Medicago truncatula: one gene and its partner. The protein of the gene in region 1 binds, or shares a complex with, the protein of each later gene. Links are inferred from orthologs where the notes say so. Each region holds a gene or a part of one and is shown in the gene's direction. Other genes may lie near its edges.

What was found.
Region 2: the proteins of NADH dehydrogenase [ubiquinone] 1 alpha subcomplex subunit 9, mitochondrial (region 1) and NADH dehydrogenase [ubiquinone] iron-sulfur protein 7, mitochondrial are in contact, whole or in part, in a cryo-EM structure (PDB 8BEE), measured with the Arabidopsis thaliana proteins. The link is inferred for Medicago truncatula from reciprocal best matches to the Arabidopsis thaliana genes AT2G20360 and AT5G11770. Residues at the interface, in NP_565469.1 of Arabidopsis thaliana: Arg100, Gly101, Ser102, Glu103, Asp104, Arg107, Lys110, Leu111, Lys122, Thr151, Arg152, Asn153, Phe154, Pro330, Phe331, Pro332; in NP_196738.1 of Arabidopsis thaliana: Arg140, Glu148, Arg150, Trp151, Asp176, Arg177, Ile178, Val179, Pro180, Val181, Asp182, Lys205, Arg208, Arg209, His214, Trp215, Trp216, Asn217, Lys218.

Annotation. Positions count from the first base shown.
Region 1 is NC_053042.1:33,994,615-34,005,659, forward strand, and holds the start of NADH dehydrogenase [ubiquinone] 1 alpha subcomplex subunit 9, mitochondrial, read left to right. Parts: upstream 1-6,418; 5' UTR 6,419-6,523; coding exon 6,524-6,608; intron 6,609-6,703; coding exon 6,704-6,800; intron 6,801-8,349; coding exon 8,350-8,414; intron 8,415-8,525; coding exon 8,526-8,611; intron 8,612-8,759; coding exon 8,760-8,844; intron 8,845-8,944; coding exon 8,945-9,015; intron 9,016-10,083; coding exon 10,084-10,215; intron 10,216-10,835; coding exon 10,836-10,951; intron 10,952-11,045. Other genes in the region: ABC transporter C family member 5, read left to right, coding at 315-998, 1,079-1,243, 1,515-1,809, 2,221-2,435, 2,731-3,036, 3,323-3,386, 3,509-3,748, 4,858-4,970. UniProt on the Arabidopsis thaliana protein: Accessory subunit of the mitochondrial membrane respiratory chain NADH dehydrogenase (Complex I), that is believed not to be involved in catalysis. Complex I functions in the transfer of electrons from NADH to the respiratory chain.
Region 2 is NC_053044.1:51,498,243-51,509,520, reverse strand, and holds NADH dehydrogenase [ubiquinone] iron-sulfur protein 7, mitochondrial, read left to right. Parts: upstream 1-6,924; 5' UTR 6,925-7,010; coding exon 7,011-7,408; intron 7,409-10,300; coding exon 10,301-10,535; 3' UTR 10,536-10,858; downstream 10,859-11,278. UniProt on the Arabidopsis thaliana protein: Core subunit of the mitochondrial membrane respiratory chain NADH dehydrogenase (Complex I) that is believed to belong to the minimal assembly required for catalysis. Complex I functions in the transfer of electrons from NADH to the respiratory chain.

The DNA of each region.
Region 1 (11,045 bases):
CGATATTGTTCTGTTTTATAGCAGCTTCCTCCTGAGAGAAACTCGTTACTCGTATCAATTGGCCATTATGGTAATTGAATGTATTGCTGATACTTTCTAACAATATTTCTAAATTTAGCTACATTGTTTTGTTTCAACATTGATCCTTAGTTTCTTTAGTTGCCTACATGTCGTATTTATCTTTGTCTATAATGATGTTTAATTCTTTCAAAGACTAAGAAGAATCCTTTATTATCTTACATCTTAAAAATGTGGTTGGTATAAAGTGAAAGTAGTTTTCTCAATTACTATTATTTTTTTGTCCAATTTTGAAGGTTCTTAAAGAAGGCCAGATCATACAGGCAGGAAAGTATGATGACCTTTTACAGGCAGGAACAGATTTTAGATCTCTAGTTTCAGCTCACCATGAAGCAATAGAGGCAATGGACATTCCTACTCACTCATCCTCAGAAGATTCAGATGAAAATGAGTCGTTGGATGCACCTATTAGGACCAGTAAGAAATCTATTTCTTCTGTAAATGATATTGCCAGTTTGGCGAAGGAAGTTCACGAGGGATCGTCAGAAATAAAGGAAAAGAAGAAGGCAAAGCGCTCAAGAAAAAAACAGCTTGTTCAAGAAGAGGAGAGGGTTAGAGGTAGAGTCAGCATGAAGGTGTACCTGACCTACATGGCAGCCGCCTATAAAGGCTTACTGATTCCCCTCATAATCATTGCACAAACATTATTTCAGTTCCTTCAGATTGCCAGCAATTGGTGGATGGCTTGGGCGAATCCTCAAACAGAAGGAGACGAGCCCAAAGTAACTCCCACGACTCTTCTTCTTGTTTACATGGCCCTTGCCTTTGGCAGCTCATGCTTCATATTTGTTAGGGCCGTTCTCGTGGCTACATTTGGTCTAGCAGCTGCACAGAAGCTGTTTTTTAACATGCTTAGGAGTATTTTCCATGCACCAATGTCTTTCTTTGACTCTACACCAGCTGGAAGGATCCTGAATCGTGTAAGTTTTCTCGTTGTTTCCCACTCCTCTTTTGTTTTTGTCTCTCTACATCATATAATGAACTACCTTTATTCCCTCAGGTTTCAATTGATCAAAGTGTTGTGGATCTTGACATTCCTTTTAGACTTGGAGGGTTTGCTTCATCAACGATACAACTTATTGGCATTGTTGCTGTAATGTCAGAAGTTACATGGCAAGTTTTGCTCCTAGTAGTCCCAATGGCAATTGTCTGTTTGTGGATGCAGGTAATCGGAAATCATAAGCCTATTTTTTAATCTTTCAATCTGCTTTTCAAAAAGATTTCTTTAGCTGAAAATCAAGCCATGAAGGATAAAATAAACCCCATTTATCATAAAGTTCCTATTCATTATTTTTCTGTTAAGGAAATTTTTTATTCAAGGGGTACAGAGAAGATACATTGACGAAGGACTAGAAATCCTCCATTAATATATTGCATTTTGTGTTTTCCTAACTCCCAATGCTGTGGCTTAATATTTGACCATTAATTAATTGCAGAAATACTACATGGCTTCTTCAAGGGAACTTGTACGTATTGTAAGCATCCAGAAATCTCCAATTATACAACTTTTTGGTGAATCAATTGCTGGAGCAGCCACCATCAGAGGTTTTGGACAAGAAAAAAGGTTCTTGAAGAGGAACCTCTATCTTCTGGATTGTTTTGCACGACCATTCTTTTGCAGTCTTGCAGCTATTGAGTGGCTCTGCCTACGCATGGAATTGCTTTCAACTTTTGTATTTGCTTTCTGCATGGTATTACTCGTGAGCTTTCCCCGTGGAAGTATTGACCCCAGTGAGTTTTTTTCCTGATTGATTCCCAATTTTCATGATGTCAAATCCTGGAGGATTGAGTTATGTAGTATATTTTGTCAAAACAAAGTCATGTAGTATTATTTGAAGTAGTTACTACTAGAAATGATTCCTATGGAATCTTTACTATTTTGATTCTGTTCACATAGTTGTTTCGCACTATTGTTACGACTCAGGTCTTTACTGTTGAATTTGTTTATCACATAGAATAGTCTACTGATAGCTCATACTTGGTGTATGATTTTGTTCTTTTGCATTTCAATTTCACTTAAAGCAGGTGTATATGGTATTAGATTGTGTTATAGGAAAGGGCTTAAGTGATGGTTTGGAACCAAGCAGAATGCAATAGTAAACAATGTTCTGTTGCTAATTACTGTTACTTTTCTGCTTATAGGTATGGCTGGACTTGCTGTGACGTATGGCCTGAATTTAAATGGACGTTTGTCTCGCTGGATACTAAGCTTTTGTAAACTTGAAAATAAAATTATATCTATTGAAAGGATTTATCAGTACAGTCAAATTCCTAGTGAAGCACCACCACTTATTGAAGATTTTCGCCCTCCACCCTCATGGCCAGTGAATGGGACAATTCAACTAATTGATCTGAAGGTACCATCTAAGTTTCACATTAAATATGCTCTTTGTTCTTTGTTCAGCACCAAGTAGTTCATGTCTATTCTACCGCATTTAATTTTGATTTTAGCCATTTTAATTTTTATTTATTTTAAAAAATTTTGAGTGCGGGAAGATTCTTATGTTTTCTTCTGTTGCACAACATTAGAGTCTAATCCAAACTCTTAGAAATGTGCATTGCATCAAAATCTTTATTGTGATTTTTCTACTGCAATTGCCTCTTTCTGGCGATGATCCACCTCATTTTCCCTCTACTGTCTCTCTCTTGAAGGTTCGTTACAAGGAAAATCTTCCCATGGTGCTTCATGGAGTATCCTGCACATTTCCTGGTGGGAAGAAGATTGGAATAGTTGGACGAACTGGCAGTGGCAAATCTACTTTGATTCAGGCGTTATTTCGATTGGTTGAACCAGCAGCCGGGAGTATCCTTATAGACAACATTGATATCTCGGGAATTGGCCTTCATGACCTTCGGAGCCATTTGAGTATCATACCACAAGATCCAACCTTATTTGAAGGCACCATTCGAGGCAATCTGGATCCTCTTGAAGAGCATTCTGATAAAGAGATTTGGGAGGTTAGTATAATAGTATTATTTAGATAGATAGTTTCATTTAAATAATTGCACAAAAGATAGTTTCATTTAAATAATTGCACAAAATTTGTGTAATTTTTAACTTAGTAATGCTATTTTATTGTTAGATGATTGAATTAGTTTCCAAATCCACTTATGATTTTCACTCCTTATAAATCTAATAGCATAAGAAAATAATTGAATAGTCCTTGTTATTTGAAAATTATGGCTATCTTATGTAAGAGTAGGTGGTTCTAATTTTGATTGCTTTGTGTTTAACTTCTCATAGGCACTAGATAAGTCTCAGCTTGGAGAGATCATTCGTGAGAAAGGACAAAAGCTTGATACACCAGGTAAGAGACCACCAAAATACTGGAATATTCCCGGTATCTTTTCTTCACCAACCCCTGAAAAAGAAAAAGGGAAGGTAAAATGTTGAGTCACGGGTATCTTATGATTTGTTTCAAATTCGCAGTGCTAGAAAATGGTGATAATTGGAGTGTAGGACAGCGGCAACTTGTTGCTCTTGGCCGAGCTCTGCTCAAGCAGTCAAAGATACTTGTACTTGATGAAGCAACAGCTTCTGTTGACAGTGCTACTGATAATCTTATCCAGAAGGTTATCCGAGAGGAGTTCAGAGACTGTACTGTGTGCACTATTGCTCATCGTATTCCTACTGTTATTGACAGTGATCTTGTCCTGGTACTCAGTGATGGTACGTATCGTTTTATACTGTTCTTTGGCTTTTCTTTCTTTTTTGCAGTAAAATTGCTTTTAGGCTTTGCTTTGTCCAACAGGACAGTAAACAATTTTTTCAAGTTAAATGTTGAAATCACATCAATATACCTCTTTGTTTTCTGTTGCAGCTTTGAGAAATTGTTCCATGAAAGTAAACATTCATGTCCCAAACAAAATAAAGTATGAGTTGTGTTTTTTGACACCTAAATTTGACAATAATTTGGATAGTAACATAGTTCATATATTCGATTAATTACATTCAAGTGGATGGTTTACGAAAATAGCAAGGTGTCACAACTCATTAACCATCCACTGGACATAATTTACCATTGTTTTAAATGTCATTAACTACTATTTTCTGGTGTATATTTAAACAAAACTTGTTGTTAATGGATATCATGTATATTTGACCACAATTTGGATGGTTAAAGGATATTATGCATCCTGACCAAAAAAAAAAAAAAAGGATATTATGCATATTTGAACACCAAAATTTTGGTGGTTAATGACGTTGAAAATCATGCTTAACTACGTTCAATAGATGGTTAGTGAGTTGCGACACCTTGTCATATTCACTAACCATCATTAGACAGTACTAACCACATATTTAAACTGTGTTAACTATCTAAATTGTTGTCAAATTTTTGTGTCAAAATGTCATCTCTGATAAAGTAAATATACCAGTCATATAAGAGAGTTGAAAGTTCAGCAGGTTGTAGATTCTGCTTTTTTAATGCGAGATTCTGTTATAGTGTCAGTTTTAAATCAATTTAGTCTTTTAGTCAACGGAATGCCAAAAATAGTAAAATTGGCTGACAATGTGTTCAATTTATGAGTGCGCTTACGTGTTACTTTACTACATGTGTCTGCTCACTTCTAAATCTGTCAGGGAGCAACATGTATCTATATAATTCTTTTCTCTATCTTCCCATTTCATGCACAACATGAAAAGGAAATAGAGCGCAGATGTGATTTTAAATTGAGTGCTTGGGATGGCTGGAAATGATTTATTTTATTTTTTTTATATATAATTTTTATGTTTCACTACTATGTGCTCATGATGTTAGCTTTTGACATTTTTTGCAGGTCTAGTTGCAGAGTTTGACACTCCATTGAGGCTATTAGAAGATAAGTCATCCATGTTTTTGAAGCTGGTGACTGAATATTCATCGCGATCAACTGGCATGCCGGATTTTTAAACAAGTTGAGAATGTCTGAAAATCTTCATAGTTAGTGGTGGAAAGAGATTAAGAACCTTCAGAGGCAGCGGCAATCAAAAGCGGAAACAGTGGTGATGCTTGAGTTGCTGCCACTGCTGCATTGGCACACGCAGAGACATAAAATGAACACGTGTCCCTCAACTGCTCCAGTGGGGGGGAGTAAATGAGTTTCCTGGTTGAAAGTGTTATGAGTTGATTCATCCTTTTGAGGAGTTCATGCATGGTTGACATGTTTTGTTACAAGAAAAAAGTAAGATGATCCGCTGTTACAGGAAGGTAAACATGGGGTGTCTGAATTGGGATCATCAAGTATGCACAATAAAGTAGTTTTGAGAATGAGGCAGTAGAGTGTTTGCTTAGCAAAGTTTAGAGTTGGAACTAGTCTTGTGTATTCCACGTTTTTCTTATTAGTTAGCAACGCAGAATCAAGCCCGTTTCTAGGCTGAAGTTTTGACTACATTTACTATCCCACAGAAATGACATTGCTTAAATTTTCTCTTTTGCATAGTTGGCTGTTCATTTTTTTTTTTATCATCTCTGGTAGTGTGTGTAATCAACTCTTTTGTACAATGTCGTAATTTGCTAGTGAACTATCCTTTGCAATATGATATTATATATTATGAATACTCTACGAATTTAATTTACGTTGTATGTGTAAATTTGGTTACATTTTCAATTAATCATAAACGTATGACTTTAATCATAGTGACTTTGCTGGTTTAGCAACTACCTGTAATTGTACAAAGTATGCCATCAAGTATCAACACAGTCTCTGAATTACATGTTCTCTATCTCTCTTGTTGATTGGTTAAAATTCACATATGTCCTAATTTTTTTTGGAGATGTTGGTATACCTTTAAGAATTTGAGAATGTATAAATGTGTACCAAAAATTAACCTTTTATGTGTGTATTTTCTCCTAAAATTTACATCTTTATAATTTCATTTGCCAATAGCATTCCATCTTTGTTTCAAAACAAAGTATGTTATAGAAATTGAAGATATAATAAATCCTTGTTTTCAACTATACCTTAGAGTTTGAAAAATAAGAATCTGTAAAACAATTAATGATAGTATTTTTTTTGTTTAACATTGTGGAAAAACCAGAAATAAATTATAAAAAAAAAATATGAAATGGAAAAACATAGTAATGTTTAGATAAAGGGGTGGGTGCATTCAATAATAGATCTCATTCAGTTTAATCAGATGTCATGTGTTCGAATCCAACCATAAAATGCAATAATGATAAATCTCTTCTTGACAAAGAGTTTTTCCACTCATCGTGTTTTTTTTTTTTAACGGATCTATGAATTAATCTTTGCAGTTACGTGGAGAATAGAGATGACCATTTCATAAAAAAAAAAAAAAAAGGGTGGGTGTATTTTAAAATAAAAGAGGTGGTAATAATAGATCTAGTCCAAATATCGTGCACCTTCCGGCCTCCATAGCATAGCATATCAACATTTCTCTGTGTTCGTTCCGTTCTCTCTCTCTCTCTCTCTCTCTGCTTAGGTTCTTCTTGGTAACGCTAAGATGCAAGCTATTACAAGACGCTTAGGCCACGAATCTCTGAAATCCTCAACTTTGCTCAAATCCAGCTATCCAATTTCCGATCACTGTACGTTTTCCGAATTTGTATAATGCATCATCCTTAATTCCCAATTCCATTTCTAATTAACTAACTAATTGTAAGTATTTTAATCGTAATTGCAGACTATGGTGTAAATCACGAGCGTTATGTTTCCACCATAGCTACCAAGGGCGTTGGTCACCTCGTCCGCAAGGGTACTGGTGGAAGATCATCTGTCAGGTTAACTTCATTACTTGAATTTTTATAATTTTATGGATATTTATGATAAGATTCATAAAATAAATATTCATTTCTCTTAGTTTAGGTTCTACATTTTGTGCATATGAGTTTTGAGCTTGATAGCTATTAAGTGAGGTATTTGAATTTGATGGAAGTTGTTGAGAGAAATGAGTGTGATTAAAGTCCTTGATATATTAAATCCGCTCATGTGGAGAGATATTTGAATAGTATATACATGGGGCTTGCAAATTCTTTTTTATTTGGGACTTTTGGTATAGATGCAGAACTAGTGTTTTTGATGGGTTTTGAGCTTGCTTGATCTTGGATTACCAAGAAACAAAAACTAAAGCTGTAATCATAAGCACAGACACTGACACTTCTCGGACACACCTTGAACATGTGTCAAACACCTCTTATTGGTGTTCAATTAAAAAGATGGTTCGGACACATGTCAAGAGACTGAGCTTATACCTGCTCCTAGCCATACACTTCTCGAACTCCCTAACCTTAGATTGTATCGAATGCTTTTTGAGACAAATACAACAATGACGTCTCATTATTAGGCTCATTATCATAGGACTAATTACTTGTTATTAAAGACATGATTCATCTTCTTATCTTAGGATTATATATGTGAAGAAATAAGAATAAGATTGCATTATAAATGATTCCTCGTAATCTTAATATTTTTTTTTTGAGGGCCTTAATCTTAATTCTCAATTTAGATTTTTGTCAGGTTAATTATATATTCGTATGCAGTGTCTCCGTCTCCTATATTTTGGACATTAGCCATGTTGCGGAATCTGTGTTGTGTCAGAGTCCGTGCACCATAGCTGGCAATGAAGCCAACTGCTGGTGATTTCACCATTAGCTGTTAACTTTGGCCCCTATATTTGTGTGGTCTAGACTCTAGAAACATTTTATAGATGATATTTCCATCTCTTAACTTATCCATAGGATAAGATTTGATAAATTTTCCTAGTTGGATGTAGTTTCTGCACTTGAGACAATCTGAAATAATGTTTTCACGAAATGAGGTTACATTGTTTAGTACGTGCTGATGTTCATCAAACTGTGAAAATGTTTTAAGATTGGTTGGATGCAACTATAGATTGATTTTGCATGTTTAGGACAGACTAGACACTGTAAATAATCATTTGTATTATCATCAGTTCATTATTTAGCGTGATGTATGATGTTTAATATTATGCCTTCTTGAAGTTATATCATGAATGTTTCTCATTTATCGAATGTAGGCTTGCAGTTTTAAGGCTAGGATTGATTTTTCCTTGGGAGCTGTTCAATTTTGTTTTTTTGCGTTCTGAATGAATAGAAATGGTTATTTTGAAATTTTTTCTTGTAGTATGAATTATAGTTTATTAACCTCGTTAACCTACAGATTAGGATCAAAATCTTTTCACCTTTTTACTTGGTTTACTTGCCTTCCATTCCTTTTTTAAGAAAGTATAGGGTTTGGAAGGTTTTGATCTGTGTTAAATGTTCTCATAAATGGCTGGTAAATTAATCTTGAAAGCAAATCCTTGTGCAGTGGTATTGTTGCCACAGTATTTGGAGCAACTGGATTCCTTGGTCGTTATGTTGTTCAACAACTTGGTAAGTTTGTGGGTTATGTAATTGTTTCAACGAATTGTTTACCCAAATATTGTTAAGAAAGCTTAAATCTTGTATTGCTTGTTTTTTTGGGATGTCATTCCCCTCTTCCAGCTAAAATGGGATCTCAAGTCTTAGTTCCTTTCCGAGGCTCTGAAGATTCTCCTCGTCATCTCAAACTGATGGGAGATTTAGGACAGGTAACATTTTTAAATGTTTTAATACTTGTGAAGAATCTGCTTTTGTCTTTTCTTTCTTCTGTATTAGAATGGAAAGTAAGTAGTGGTATATTCGTGCGCTATTTCCATTCACTATTTGTGCTAATCCTCCCGTGATTAATATGCCCAGATTGTACCTATGAAATTCAATCCAAGAGATGAGAGTTCGGTTAAAGCTGTAATGGCTAGAGCCAATGTTGTCATCAATCTCATTGGTAATCTCACACAATTCTCACATAACCTCACATAATGGAAAGTATGTGATTTTTTGTCTCATAATCACATACTCATTTTGGCTTATTTGTTTGTTGGCAGGAAGGGATTATGAGACAAGAAACTTCAGCTATGAGGAAGTGCACTATCACATGGCCGAGAAACTTGCAAAGGCATGTTCTTTCACATTTGTTAATTTTTTCTCATCCCATATCATCGTGTTAATGTCTTATTCTTAAATTATGAACCACTCACCACTCTCTCTGAGAATTTTATTTGCTTAGTGTTTGTACATTGGCGTTTATTTTCAATAATAACAGAACATTCTAAATCTTTAAAGAAAATGACTTTAAATGTAGCCTCCAATGTTGAGAAACACGCTGCTAACTGTGAAATTTAGGATGTTCATGAAGTTGTGAGAGAAAGGGGAAAAAGAAAGTCAACTCGACATGGTTACCATAATGTTCTCTCAAGAATCTATTGTGTATTATTGGATCTGGTCAACTAAAATTGATACCAAGCATAAAAAATATAACATATCCAAATTGTTCAGTGCCACTCTCAAGCTACATATTGACTCTTATGTTTTGTAACCATTCCTGACAGGGTTTCAATTATTTAAAAGAAAGTCTTCCGAAATGATTATCGAATCAATTGAAAATTGTATGATTCACTAGATTGAGTTATGAGCTTATCTGAGGAAAGCATTCAGTTTAGAGGTTCAAAGCAGTTTCAATGGGCTCAGAAGCCTCTTGCAAACTTTAGGTGATATCTCCAATGGATTTGAGTATTGGTTGAATCGTACAATAATGATTGGTTTAGAGCCTCTCTGTTACAGCTTTTTTCATGAAAAAATCACATTTTTTTTTTCGAATAAAATAATCACTTTTTCAAATGAGAAGCTGTTTTTAGTAGCTTCTCAGAAAATCAATTTTTTATAACAGATTTTTTTTTAAGGAAAAGGTTATTTTCATTATGGAAAACAAACACAACAACTTCTACTTTTTTTAAAAATCTCTAAAAATTAATCTCTAAAATATTGAGTATTAAAATCACTTTTTTTAGGTTGTACCAAACGGGCCCTTAGTGCATGTTAAGTGAGCCAATATCAATCCTTGCAAAGCTTGGTTTTGATTAGTTTGAATGTTTTTTTTTATTTTTTTTATTATTTTTTTATTATTGTAATATCTGGAATTTCCAAATTTGATCTGATATTTGATATTCAAATTGTATCGTTGCAGATTTCAAAAGAACATGGTGGTATCATGAGGTTCATTCAAGTTTCTTGCTTAGGTGCATCTCCATCATCTTCTTCCAGGATGCTTAGATGTAAAGCAGCTGCCGAAGAAGCGGTTTTAAGAGAATTACCTGAGGTACATTTAGTTTCTCACTCTCTAGGCCAGTAATTTATTTCTAGTTCGGTTTTCATATGTAAAAGGAGCAACTATTCTCTAATATTCTGTTGACATTTGAAGCTTAGCAAAGAAAGGCTATATTTTCTCTCTCTTGTTTTCATAGGCTTTTGGGTGGAAACGGAAATGATTAAGGATATGAAAAAAATAACCCTCAATGACAGAGATAGATGTCAGACCAATCAATAATAATTTTTACCACCCAAGTATTGACTCTTAATATTCTTGGTCTTCTTGGTTTTTATTATTCTATGAGCGAATGGTAAATTAAATATAATTGATTCATTATTTTTAAGGTTTTGGGGTTTATTTAGCAATCTCTTGAATATCAAGTAAAAGGGAAGTTTGATAGCATTCTTACTACTTTTTCAAAATGTCTCCAGGAAGTATATCTTGCCCTGTTTAAGCACTGATGCACTGTATATATCTGATAACAAAATAGAGACATACATCTTTTTCTTCTGTGAATGGTGAAATGAAAATCATATGCATTAATTAATACAGTTAAAATATTATGATCATCATGCTTTGCTATCTTGCAAGAGCATTAATTTGAGAATTCATAATATCACAATTAACAGGCCACGATCTTCAAACCAGCTGTTATGATTGGTACAGAGGACCGGATTTTAAACCGATGGGCTCATTTTGCAAAGAAGTATGGCTTTATTCCATTGATGGGGAACGGGAACACAAAGTATGAGCAAATCTATCAAACAATTACTCTTAATTTCAATGATTTTTACTGAAGTGAATTGTATTGTTAGTGATTCTTCCTTTTGGCATTGAAA
Region 2 (11,278 bases), on another chromosome or scaffold:
ACTGTGATATTTGAAGAGGGACAGATTTTTGCAACTACTTTGTTAATCAAAAATGTTGTGAAAGAATATGCTCTACAGAACAAGAAGAATGTTCACTTGAAGAAAAGTGAGAAAATGATAATTATTGTGAAGTGTAGTGATGGATGTCCGTATCACATGAGATTCAGTAGGGTTCCACCTCAAACTTTTTATGTGTTGTCTAGTTATAATTCAGCACATACATGCACTAATACTGGTAGAGTAAGACTGTTAAGAACAAAGTTGCTGGCTAAGAAGCTGGTACCAACCTTGAGACACACACCTGATATGACCATTAAGGCACTACAAGATTTGTGTAAGCGTAACTGGTATGTGATTCTTACTAGATTTCAGATGTATATGGCAAAATTGAAGGCTTTAGAGATGATACATGGGGCTAGTGAAGAGCAATATGCTCATCTTAGAAACTATGCAGAAGAGCTTTTAAGAAGTAATCATGGGAGTTCTATGAAGATTAAATGTAAAGAGACAACTAGGGGTTTTGCATTTCAGAGAATATATGTTTGTTTTGCTGCTTGCAAGAGGGCCTTTGTCCAAAGATGCAGACCTTTGATAGGGTTGGATGGTTGTTTTCTGAAAGGGAGGTATGGTGGAAAGTTACTATCAGCAATTGGGAAAGATGGTAACAATCAAATGATCCCCATAGCATTTGCTATTGTGGAAGCTGAAACCAAAGAGAGTTGGGACTGGTTTATTGAACTACTGCTTTCAGATTTGAATGGCATTCAATGCAAAAGATGGTCTTTCATATCAGATCAGCAGAATGTAATTTTCTAACTATTTACTTATTTTTATGCTCTTATCTTAATATTATGTAGATTAATTTTGTATTGTTTGTAATGATGAAGGGTTTGGTGAATACAATAGCTTCTATTGGTGATAATGTTGAGCACAGACTGTGTGTGAGACATTTGTTTGGGAATTTTAGGAAAAGACATCCTGGTGAGCGCTTAAAAGAAGCTTTGTGGGCTGCAGCTAGGGCAAATACTATGCCTGATTTTAACAGGGCTATGGACAAACTGAAAAGTTTTAGTGAGGTAGCTTGGGATGAGATGAAACAATATCCACCAGGTATGTGGAGTAGGGCATGATACAAGACTCACACATGTTCTGACTTACAAGTCAATAACATGTGTGAGGCATTTAACTCTTCAATCATTGAGTTAAGATAGCAACCAGTTATTTCACTTATTGAGGGACTAAAGTTTTATATAACTAATATGATAGTTAGATTAAGGGATTACATGTTGAGGTATTCTGGTGATATTTGTCCAATGATCAAAAAGATATTTGACAAGGCTAAGAAGGATGCAAATAATTGGTCACCAACTTGGCATGGTGATAGAGAATATGCTCACTTTAGTGCTTCTGATGGAAGTGATATGTATGTGATTAATGTCAAAGAGAGGACCTGTTCATGTAGAAGGTGGGAATTAAGTGGTATTCCTTGCCCACATGTTGTTGCAGTAATCTACTACGATAGCCAAAACCCAGATGAATATGTGGCACATTGGTATAGGTGAGTTGTGATTTTATATGCTTTATGTATTCTTAATTTAAGTGGTTAATTAAGTATAATTTGGTTGGTTTCACATGACAGGAAGCAAACTTTCTTGGATACATATGATAATTTTATCATGCCTTCAAATGGACGAAAGATATGGCCAGAAGTGAACCTTCCACCAATACTGCCACCTCCAGTCAGAAGGGCACCTGGGAGGCCAAAGAAGCTTAGAAGGAAGGATAATGATGAGCCTAAGTCAACAACTAGCAAGAAGGGAAAGAGAAATCAGGACACTGTGAGGTTCACAAGATGTAAGGAACTTGGACATAACATGAGGACTTGTAAGGGTAAAACAGCTACTGATAGGTCAATTAAACCTGGAGGGAACAAGTTAATAACACAGTTTCTGTTGTTATAACACTTTCTGATAGATAACACATGATCTGATATATAACACACTTTGTGATATTGTAGGATAATACTGATATTCAACACCCTGAGGCTTCAAATGCACAAGCTTCAAATGCACAACACTCAAATGCACCTGCAACTGCTACTGCTGGTACAAACAACCATGCTGGTTCTGTAACTGCTGCTCATGTAACTACTACAACCAGTAACACATCTGGTAAGCATGTTATTGTTGGTGATTCATCCTTGTTTGTGCCTAGAAGGTCAAGGTTTGCTGGAGCTAAAAGGAAAAGTGATGAGATGGCAACTGTGGGGACTCAACAATCAGTGAACAAAAATTAAGTTAGGAATGGCAATTAATGACAATGAGACTGATGTTATATTTTGATTAATTTAGGTTATTTAATGTCAAGTACTCTTTATCTTATATTTTGGTTAATTTTGGTTATGTAAGGTTAAGTACTCTAAAGTACTGGTTATGATCTTTTGGTTAAGTTCTTTGTTTTGGTTATGGTTATGTAAGGTTAATGCACTTTTTAAACCTATGTCATCTTAAGTACTCTAATGTTAAATACTCTTCATGTATTTTGTATTTGGTGAATGTGAAGTAATACTATGTTAACTTCGTTTGAATGTCAAGTATTTAAGTACTATAATGCACTAAACTTTGCCAAAACATAAAACCTGTTTCATTAATTCTTTGCCAATAGCAGAGATTACATCAAAATCATAGCAACATTACATAACTGAAACATTACATCATACCAATATTACATCAATCCATAAGTTAACCAAGCTTAATGAAAATCACAAACAAACTTAAAAACAACAACATCCCTAAAACTACAATTGTTAACTCCAACTTTTTCTCCTTCTTCTTCATTGAATCATTCTTCTTCAAAAGTCCTCTAATTAATTTCTTCTGCCTCTCAGGCACTTCTGGATCAAACCATCTGAAAAAACTGCATTTTTCTTCTCTGGAAATACTTTCCACAACCATGGAACCTCCTTCCTGGATTTTCATTTGTCCAAGCCGTGACTAGAGGTGATTCAACACCACAATAACAAACCAACCTTGATTTGGCCATACTTGATGACCCAGAAACAGTTGAAGATGAATTGTTACCAACCATTTTCTGTTTTCCGATCTGCAAACACACAAAACAAATCGATGTGGAACTAAGAAAGGAGGTAGAGGAAGAATCGATGTGGAAGAAAGGAGAAGAATGGTTGAATAAGATGGTTGAAGAAGAACAGATGAAGGTTCGGTTATGGAGAAGAACAAATGAAGGTTCGGTTATGGTCGAATAAGATCAAGAAGAACAGATGAAGAAGAAGGGTTGAAGAATTGGGGGGTTTTTAAGGTTGGAGTTTTTTGCCGTCGGGAACTCTCACGTGCTCTCACGTGCCAACACTTTATATATATATATATATATATATATATATATATATATATATTTTATTCAAGTATTACACAAGTGGCCTTTTGAATAAAAATAAATGGGAAAATACACATGTGGCATGACACCTTCGCGTTGACCCGGTCAAAATTGACCAAAAGGTCTCTTTTGCAAATGGGCTAAAACATAGGGGTTTAAATTTTCATTTTTTTAATAGGGGGCCAAAATCGCACCATTGTGAAAGTTAGAGGGTTAAAACTGCAGTTTAACCTTTTATTTTTAACGAATTTGCATTGCATCGATATACTCTATCAATTTGAATGAATATCGTTTATTTTGTCAAAAAAACAAATCTCTAGATCAATTTCAATAATTATAAATTGACCAACCCAAAAATAAATCGAATGAAAATAAGCAAAATTTGATAAAATTGTGCATTTTAAGAAATATAGTATTTTTTCCTCAAAAAAGAAAGAAAGAAATATAGTATTTTTTTTTTTTGTAAAACTTAAGAAAGACGGCTGATTACATTTCTCGTAAAAAATTATGTCTATTGACTAAATTATCCTTCGTGGATGATAAATTGATTCATAGAAAATCAAAATTGAATAAAATTAAATGCAATTAAGAAATACTATCATTAAATAAGAGAGAAATAGTTAAAATTCGCTTATATTTCTTTTTGGATGGAGTATTATGATAATAGAAGATGTACGAATCGAGAATCCAGCTCTACTTATTTACATTTTTGAAGGGGAAGAAAATGAAACAAGAAGAGAACAAGTATCAGGAGGAGACATCTCACAAAGTCAGTGCAAGCTTGACTTGTTTGTTTTCAATTCGCCTTAATTTTGACTTTTTATGTAAAGATGTTTATATCACTTCATTAATAATAACGTCAAGATAGAAGTGTTAATATCAATCAAATATGGATGTGAGCTAAAAATGTGATTGTTTTACAAGACAGTTGCCTCATTAGCTTGCCTCCTAATAAACTCAACATGTGAGTTTTGAATTTATTTCAAAGAAAAGAGCACTACGATCTAGTAAAGTGACACCTAACTCAAAGTTTCTCCTTACGAAATTTGTCCACCGTAATTTTGAAGTCCTTCTCAAAACCAACAAGTTCTATGTTAGTGAAGAAAACCATTCCATTTTGGCAAGAAAGAAGTTACCGTATGTTATCATCTCTTATGCAAATTCTAATTCCAACTCTTTTAAGTTGAGTTGAAAATTTGCTCAAAAAAAAAAAAGTTGAGTTGAAAATGATGCATCGATGTTGCATTTGAACTGAACTGGATCTAGTTTCTTCCCACCGTCAACAAAAATACAAGTTGGAACATTTTGCTTCGAACGAAACTTTTGCGCCCCGCCAATCTTCCAATAAATACTTTCTTCGTAACAACCCTTAGTTAGATGTCTTTGCTATTCCGGATCATGTTGTTGTGTTGTTTCCAAAGACATATTTGCAAATACTCATAAAGTATATGAAAGTCGTCTCCAAGTACATAAAACATTGTCGATTAGTCCCAGAGCCGTTTCTAAAATTTGGTGGCTTAGGACGAACCTATAACTTGGATCCTTAATAATAATTACATAGGAAAATTTAAATTTTCAAAGTGTGAAAATAATTTACTTAGGCTCAGTTTGGTAAAAATAAGCTATAAGCTAACTGATAGCTGATGACTGATAGCTGATAGCTTATAGCTGAAAAGGATTTTTTTTTTTTTAATATACATATAGACACACACATTTTTTTGTAATGTTTTTTTTTCTAATATTTTTAATTATAGTTAAATATGTTTTTGATCCCTGTAAATATTCAAACTTTTGGTCTTAGTCTCCATAAAAAAATTCTTCGACCTTTAATCCTAAAAAAAAATTCACCGACAATTTTGATCTCTGCTTTATGAATCCCAAAAATAAAAGAAAGGTGGAAACAAAATGTGAGCTAGAATATATAAAATTTTACAACGTACAATAGACTAGTTATTTTTTCCTTTAAAAGAAAAAATAGGCTAGTTATTTTTTGTGTGGTGTACAGCAGGTTAGTTATAGCAAAATATAAAACATTTCCTTAAAATATATATATATATATAAAGTGCTCCTTAAAAAAAAAACAACGTGACATTTTTTTTAAGGAAAAAAATGGGGCGGTTATAAAGATGAACATGAATAGTTGTTTAATTAAAAAAATAATTAATTTAAATTAATAAGGTTAAAGTTGGAAGAAAATATAAAAAGCTACCAGCTATAAGCTAAAAAGTTACTTGAAATAACTTTTTAAAAAACGCTATAAGCTCATGAAAAAAACGTGTTACCAAACACGTCACGTTTTCATCTAACGAGCTTATAAGTTAATCCAACAAGCTATAAGCTAGCTTTTTTGGGTTAACAAACACAGCCTTAAAGAGGATAGTTTTTACTACATTAAAAAATTATCTAGTAAAAACATCAAAATTCATACAAAAAAAAATATAAAGTTTTTTATTTGATATTCAAATGCTTATACAAAATTTGGGTAATAATTATAGATGCAACGTGACTAATGAATATTTTAGATGCAAAGTGACTAATGATTAATAATTGTGGCAACATCAATATGTTCTATCATATCTTTCTCAATATAAAAAATGGCATTCAATCTTTCTTATTACATTAATTTTTTGAGAAATTTTTCAATAATTTTAACTTCGAAAAACTTCTTTTGATTTTGAAGGAAGAGTTTGGGATGGTGGAAGGCTAGAAATTTGAACCTCCTTTTTAACATCACGATAAATTATAAATGGGTCAACAAAGAACTAAACTCGTTACTATCAACCACACATTCCATTAGAATTTAAGTAATTTTTTTGGGCCTAATGAACCTCTAATTTTTTTTTTGTTGGGACCTAAATTTCGTACTTATATTTTGGAGCCTAGAATCGTCCTACTCGGCCCCACATCAGATACGACCCTGATTAATTTTAAACATGTTAATAATAAAGATTAAATTGAAGATTTTTATTTTCGTTAGGATTGCTTATCATATTTATATAATTTATGATTGAATTGAAGAGAGAATGTTGATATAAACTCTAAATAGTTTATTATCTAAGTGTTTATGAAATACAAGTTTCAAAAGTGACCAAGTCAATTCCTAAAAAAAAAAAAATAGTGACCAAGTCAAATAAAGTTTTGGTTTAGTAAAAAAAGGACATATTAAAATTAAATTATTTGATAAAATTAATCTTTTGAAGCGATTAATAAATATAAAATGATATAAAAAATAAATGATTGTTAAATTTTTTATAAAATAGATTTATAAATATTCTTTACTTAAAATATTTATTTTTAAAATTTAATTTGGATACAAATAATATAATTTTTTTACATTGACATTCACTTAAATTACTCTGATATTATTTTTTAAAAGAGAAAAAAAAAAGTTATCAAAAAATAATTGTATAAATATAATTTCTCTAACGAATGTGCTACATAAAATCAATATTGTAAAGTTTGGGGGTCGGTTTGTAAAAAATTAGTGATGGAGCACGGTGCACCACGTCGCCTAACAAAAACAGTTTGGCTGTTGCATTCTCCATCCATAAACAACAAACAGAAGGAAGAAGAAGAACGAGGGAGAAAGAACGGTGCTCTCGAAGCAACAAACAACCATGGCGGCATTTCTAACTCGAACATCTTCACGCTTCTCACAATTGTCATCACCACAACGCATAGCGTCTCTTCACACAACCCTCCCATCTCTCTCATCAACCACACCCACCCCTTATGCTCCACCGCCTCCTCCATCGACTACCTCTCCCGTCGGAATATCGAAGACGGCGGAGTACGTGATCTCGAAGGTTGATAATCTCATGAATTGGGCTCGTACTGGCTCAATCTGGCCTATGACTTTCGGACTCGCGTGTTGTGCTGTTGAAATGATGCATACTGGTGCTGCTCGTTACGATCTGGATCGATTTGGTATCATTTTTCGACCTAGTCCTCGTCAATCTGATTGTATGATTGTTGCTGGTACTCTTACCAATAAGATGGCTCCTGCTCTTCGCAAGTATGTTTCCTTCCCCCTTTTCTAGGGTTTTTTACTTTCTTATTGAGATTTGTTTATTGTTGGCGTAATTCATATTGTTTGCCCCCAATATAAGAGTTGATTTGTTTATCTTGTTAGAAATGTGTATTTTGAATCTACGACGAAGAATGTTCAAACTCTAAATTGCCCTCTTGATTTAGGTCTTGTTTGGATAAACAACATAATTAAGCTCTTATTGTTTAAGTGCTTGTGTGTAAACTATTTGTATAACAAAAGATTCGAAAAGTCAATTTTTTTTTCCTTCATATAGATGAAAGTTGTTTTCATTAGCTATCTTGGGGAGGTTATGGAAATAAGCTGAAAACAGCTTATGGACATGTCATGAGTTGGTTTCATAAGCTCGTATCCGAATTAGTTTTGCAAGTGTTTGTCCTAATAGATAAGCTCAATTCTCAAATAAGATTTAATTGTGAAAATTATAATGTTTCGTTTCTTTTGATTCCATATTATGTTATCATGAATTGCTTCGGTATATTCTGCTTGTAGGACACTAATAGCTAGGGAAAAAAAATTAGAGCACTCACTACCTTCAAAATACCAAAGATAAGCACTAAACAGAATAACTTAAAACAAACACATTCTGCCTGTAGGACACTAATAGCTAGGGGAAAAAATTAGAGCACTCACTACCTTCAAAATACCAAAGATAAGCACTAAACAGAATAACTTAAAACAAACACTGTAGTCTGCAGACTCTTTGAAGGGTCTGCTTCTTACCTGCCAAGTGTGCAGGTCATTGCAATTCCTATCCACTCCCCTGAACTAATTATCTTTTCCCCATTTATATTTCCCTTGTTTCCCCCTACGAGCTTCTAATTCCCTTCTACAGTTGTCCTTCCTAGTAATATAGACTTAAGTCATAGGGGTTGGCAACCAAATAGTCTTCTCTATGTGCTCGAATGTTGTTGTGGAAATCATTTCAATTGAATTTGAGCGATGTCACTGCATGTTAGAAGAGGTTCGTATGTGGATATTTATTGTCTCACGTTTAATATGAGGGGTGTGAAATGTGAACTTTCCATGTCTACAAAAATGTTCAATTGGGTCTGGTTGTTAAAGAAAAGTGTGATGTATGTCACTTTTGAAGTTTATATGATTTTGCTATTAATTACTATAGGGCGCTCATCTTTATCTATCAACCGTTGATATATCATTGGGGTAATTGTCACTTTGGCCCCTGAACGTGTAATGAGTCCCTGAATGTATCGAAATTCCAAAACAGTCCCTGATTGTGCATTTCGTTTGTCAAAATAGTCCCTCGCGTTAAAATGTTTTGTTAATACTGTCATACCAGTCCCTCAATATACTTACTGTCATATCAATATTTATAAGTACTTGCTTGTTGTCATATCAATCCCTATATGAAAAGAGTTATTGTCAACATTGAGGGACTATTTTAACGTCATGGACTATTTTGATTAATGAAGCGCATAATCAGATATTATTTTGGAAGTTTGTTACATTGAAGGACAATTGTGGCCACTCTTTACACATTCGGGGACTAAAATGACTATTATCTTATCATAGGCTGCTTCAATATATTCTGCCTGTTCGGAGACTAACAGCTAGGGAAAAGGAATTAGAGCACCACCGCTCTATTAATGAAATCTTCCAAAGCTTTTTTTTTTTTTTTTTATAAGCAAAATACATCACTAGGAGTACTCAATCCGTTTACAACAAAATAGTGTTAACCACTTTGAAGACATGCCAAAGGGTAATTGCACCAAGAGGAGAAATTAAAGCATGTTCTGGCTTCAGTTCTAGCTAAAAACCAAGCCCATGACAATGTTTTGATACTATAAAAAACAACAGATTCTTCTGCTGCTGTTGATTTTGGCATAGTATCAAATAATATTATCAAAATACCGAAGATAAGCACCAAATAGAAAAACATGAGGACAGACACTGTAGTCTGCAGACTCTTTGAAGAGTCTGCTTCTTTCTTACCTTCCCAATCCTCATTCAAACTTTGAATGTTCTCTCCTCTCTCTTTCATATCTTATCATTCCATTTCACTAGCAGAAGGAGGTTCCATTTACCTCCCAAGTGTGCAGGTTATTGCAATCACAATGTGCTCCCCAAATGAGGTTCCATTTACCTCCCTGTTTATATTGTTTCACATTACCCCCATATGAGGTTCCAATTCCCTTCTACAGGTCTTTCTTCCCAATAATACACACTTAAGTCATAACGGTTGGCTAACAGACATTCTTCTCTATGTGCTCGAATGTTGTTGTAGAAATCATTTCAATTGAATTTGAATGTGACTGCATGTCGGAAGAGGTTCATATGTGGATAATGATTGTCTCACACTGAATGTGAAGTGTGAGGATTCTATCTCTACGAAAATGTTCAGTTGGATCTGATTGTTGCAGAAAGAATGTGATTTATGTCTCTTTTTAATTTTAATATAATACTATTTTTCCTTTTTCGGAAGGAAAAATATGATTCTATGATGCCAAACTTTAGCCTGCCCATCTTTATCTATCATTGTATCATTACTCAGATTGCTGTTCCACTTATAGGACTCTGTTACTTCTTTTTTTTTATTTCTATTGTGAATTTGTTTTTAATCACTTGAGATTTAGGAGTGGATCCTCTTATTTTAAAATTTCATGCGACCTTGTCATATTAAAATTGTGTTTATTTCTATTGTGAATTTGTTTTTAATCACTTGGAAAATTTGGAGTGGAACTTCACTCATCTGATTGCCTTTAGTAATTAATAATTAATTTTAATTTGCTTTTCTACATTCCGTTACCCGCGAAACTTGATTAATATTCTGTCTTGGACTTGGTCCATTAAGCCAGTTAAATATACAGTTCTCAAGTCAATGCTGACGAAACATTGCAGGGTGTATGACCAAATGCCTGAGCCTAGATGGGTTGTCTCCATGGGAAGTTGTGCTAATGGAGGAGGATACTACCACTACTCTTACTCTGTTGTCCGAGGATGTGACAGAATTGTTCCTGTTGATATTTATGTTCCCGGCTGCCCTCCAACTGCTGAGGCTTTACTGTATGGACTCCTCCAACTGCAGAAGAAGATCAATAGGCGCAAGGACTTCCTCCATTGGTGGACTCAGTGAGGTCGATTAAGTTTATTCCTTGGCACCAATCTACTTTATAATAAGCAATTCATGGTTGTTTTACCTTGCTATGAATCACCCTTTGTTTGGTGGATATTCTGTTGATATGTTACCTTATGATGTATTATGCTGTATGTTTTATGTGGAGCTTTTTGGGGGCTTAAAGTCTTGGAGAAATTGAATGTTTCTTATAATATTAATGCTTCTTATGTACTAGGATTAAACAAACCACTCGTGTTTGACTCATAAGTTACAATGTGTGCTTTGATAAGTCTCCGTCTTGCTTACTCCAGATTAATGGTGTAACTTTGATTATTTTGGAATGGGAACTGATGTTTTGTTCCATTCATCTCTCCTCCTCCTGCACCACGTGTCCATGCCAAAAAATCAATACAGTTTACAAAACAGTGATGGTAACTGTGACCTTGAGTCCCATAGCCTCATCGATGATGACGACAAATAGGGAAAACTTCGAACTATTTTATGAATACCTACATGTAATTTTTTTTTTTAGAATTAAATATGATAATCGTTCCTGTAATTTGGTCTCGTTTTGATTGTCGTCCCCGTAAAAAACGAAAATTTGAAATACTTTCGTGTAAAAAAAAATTTGTTTGAAAATGATCCCTGGCTCAACTATTCAGCTGATTTGGCATGGTTTTGACCACGTGGCAGTTATTGACTGTGCAACTTTTGCCGCATGACGCTGACGTGGTGTGCCACATAATATTAAATTTTTAAAA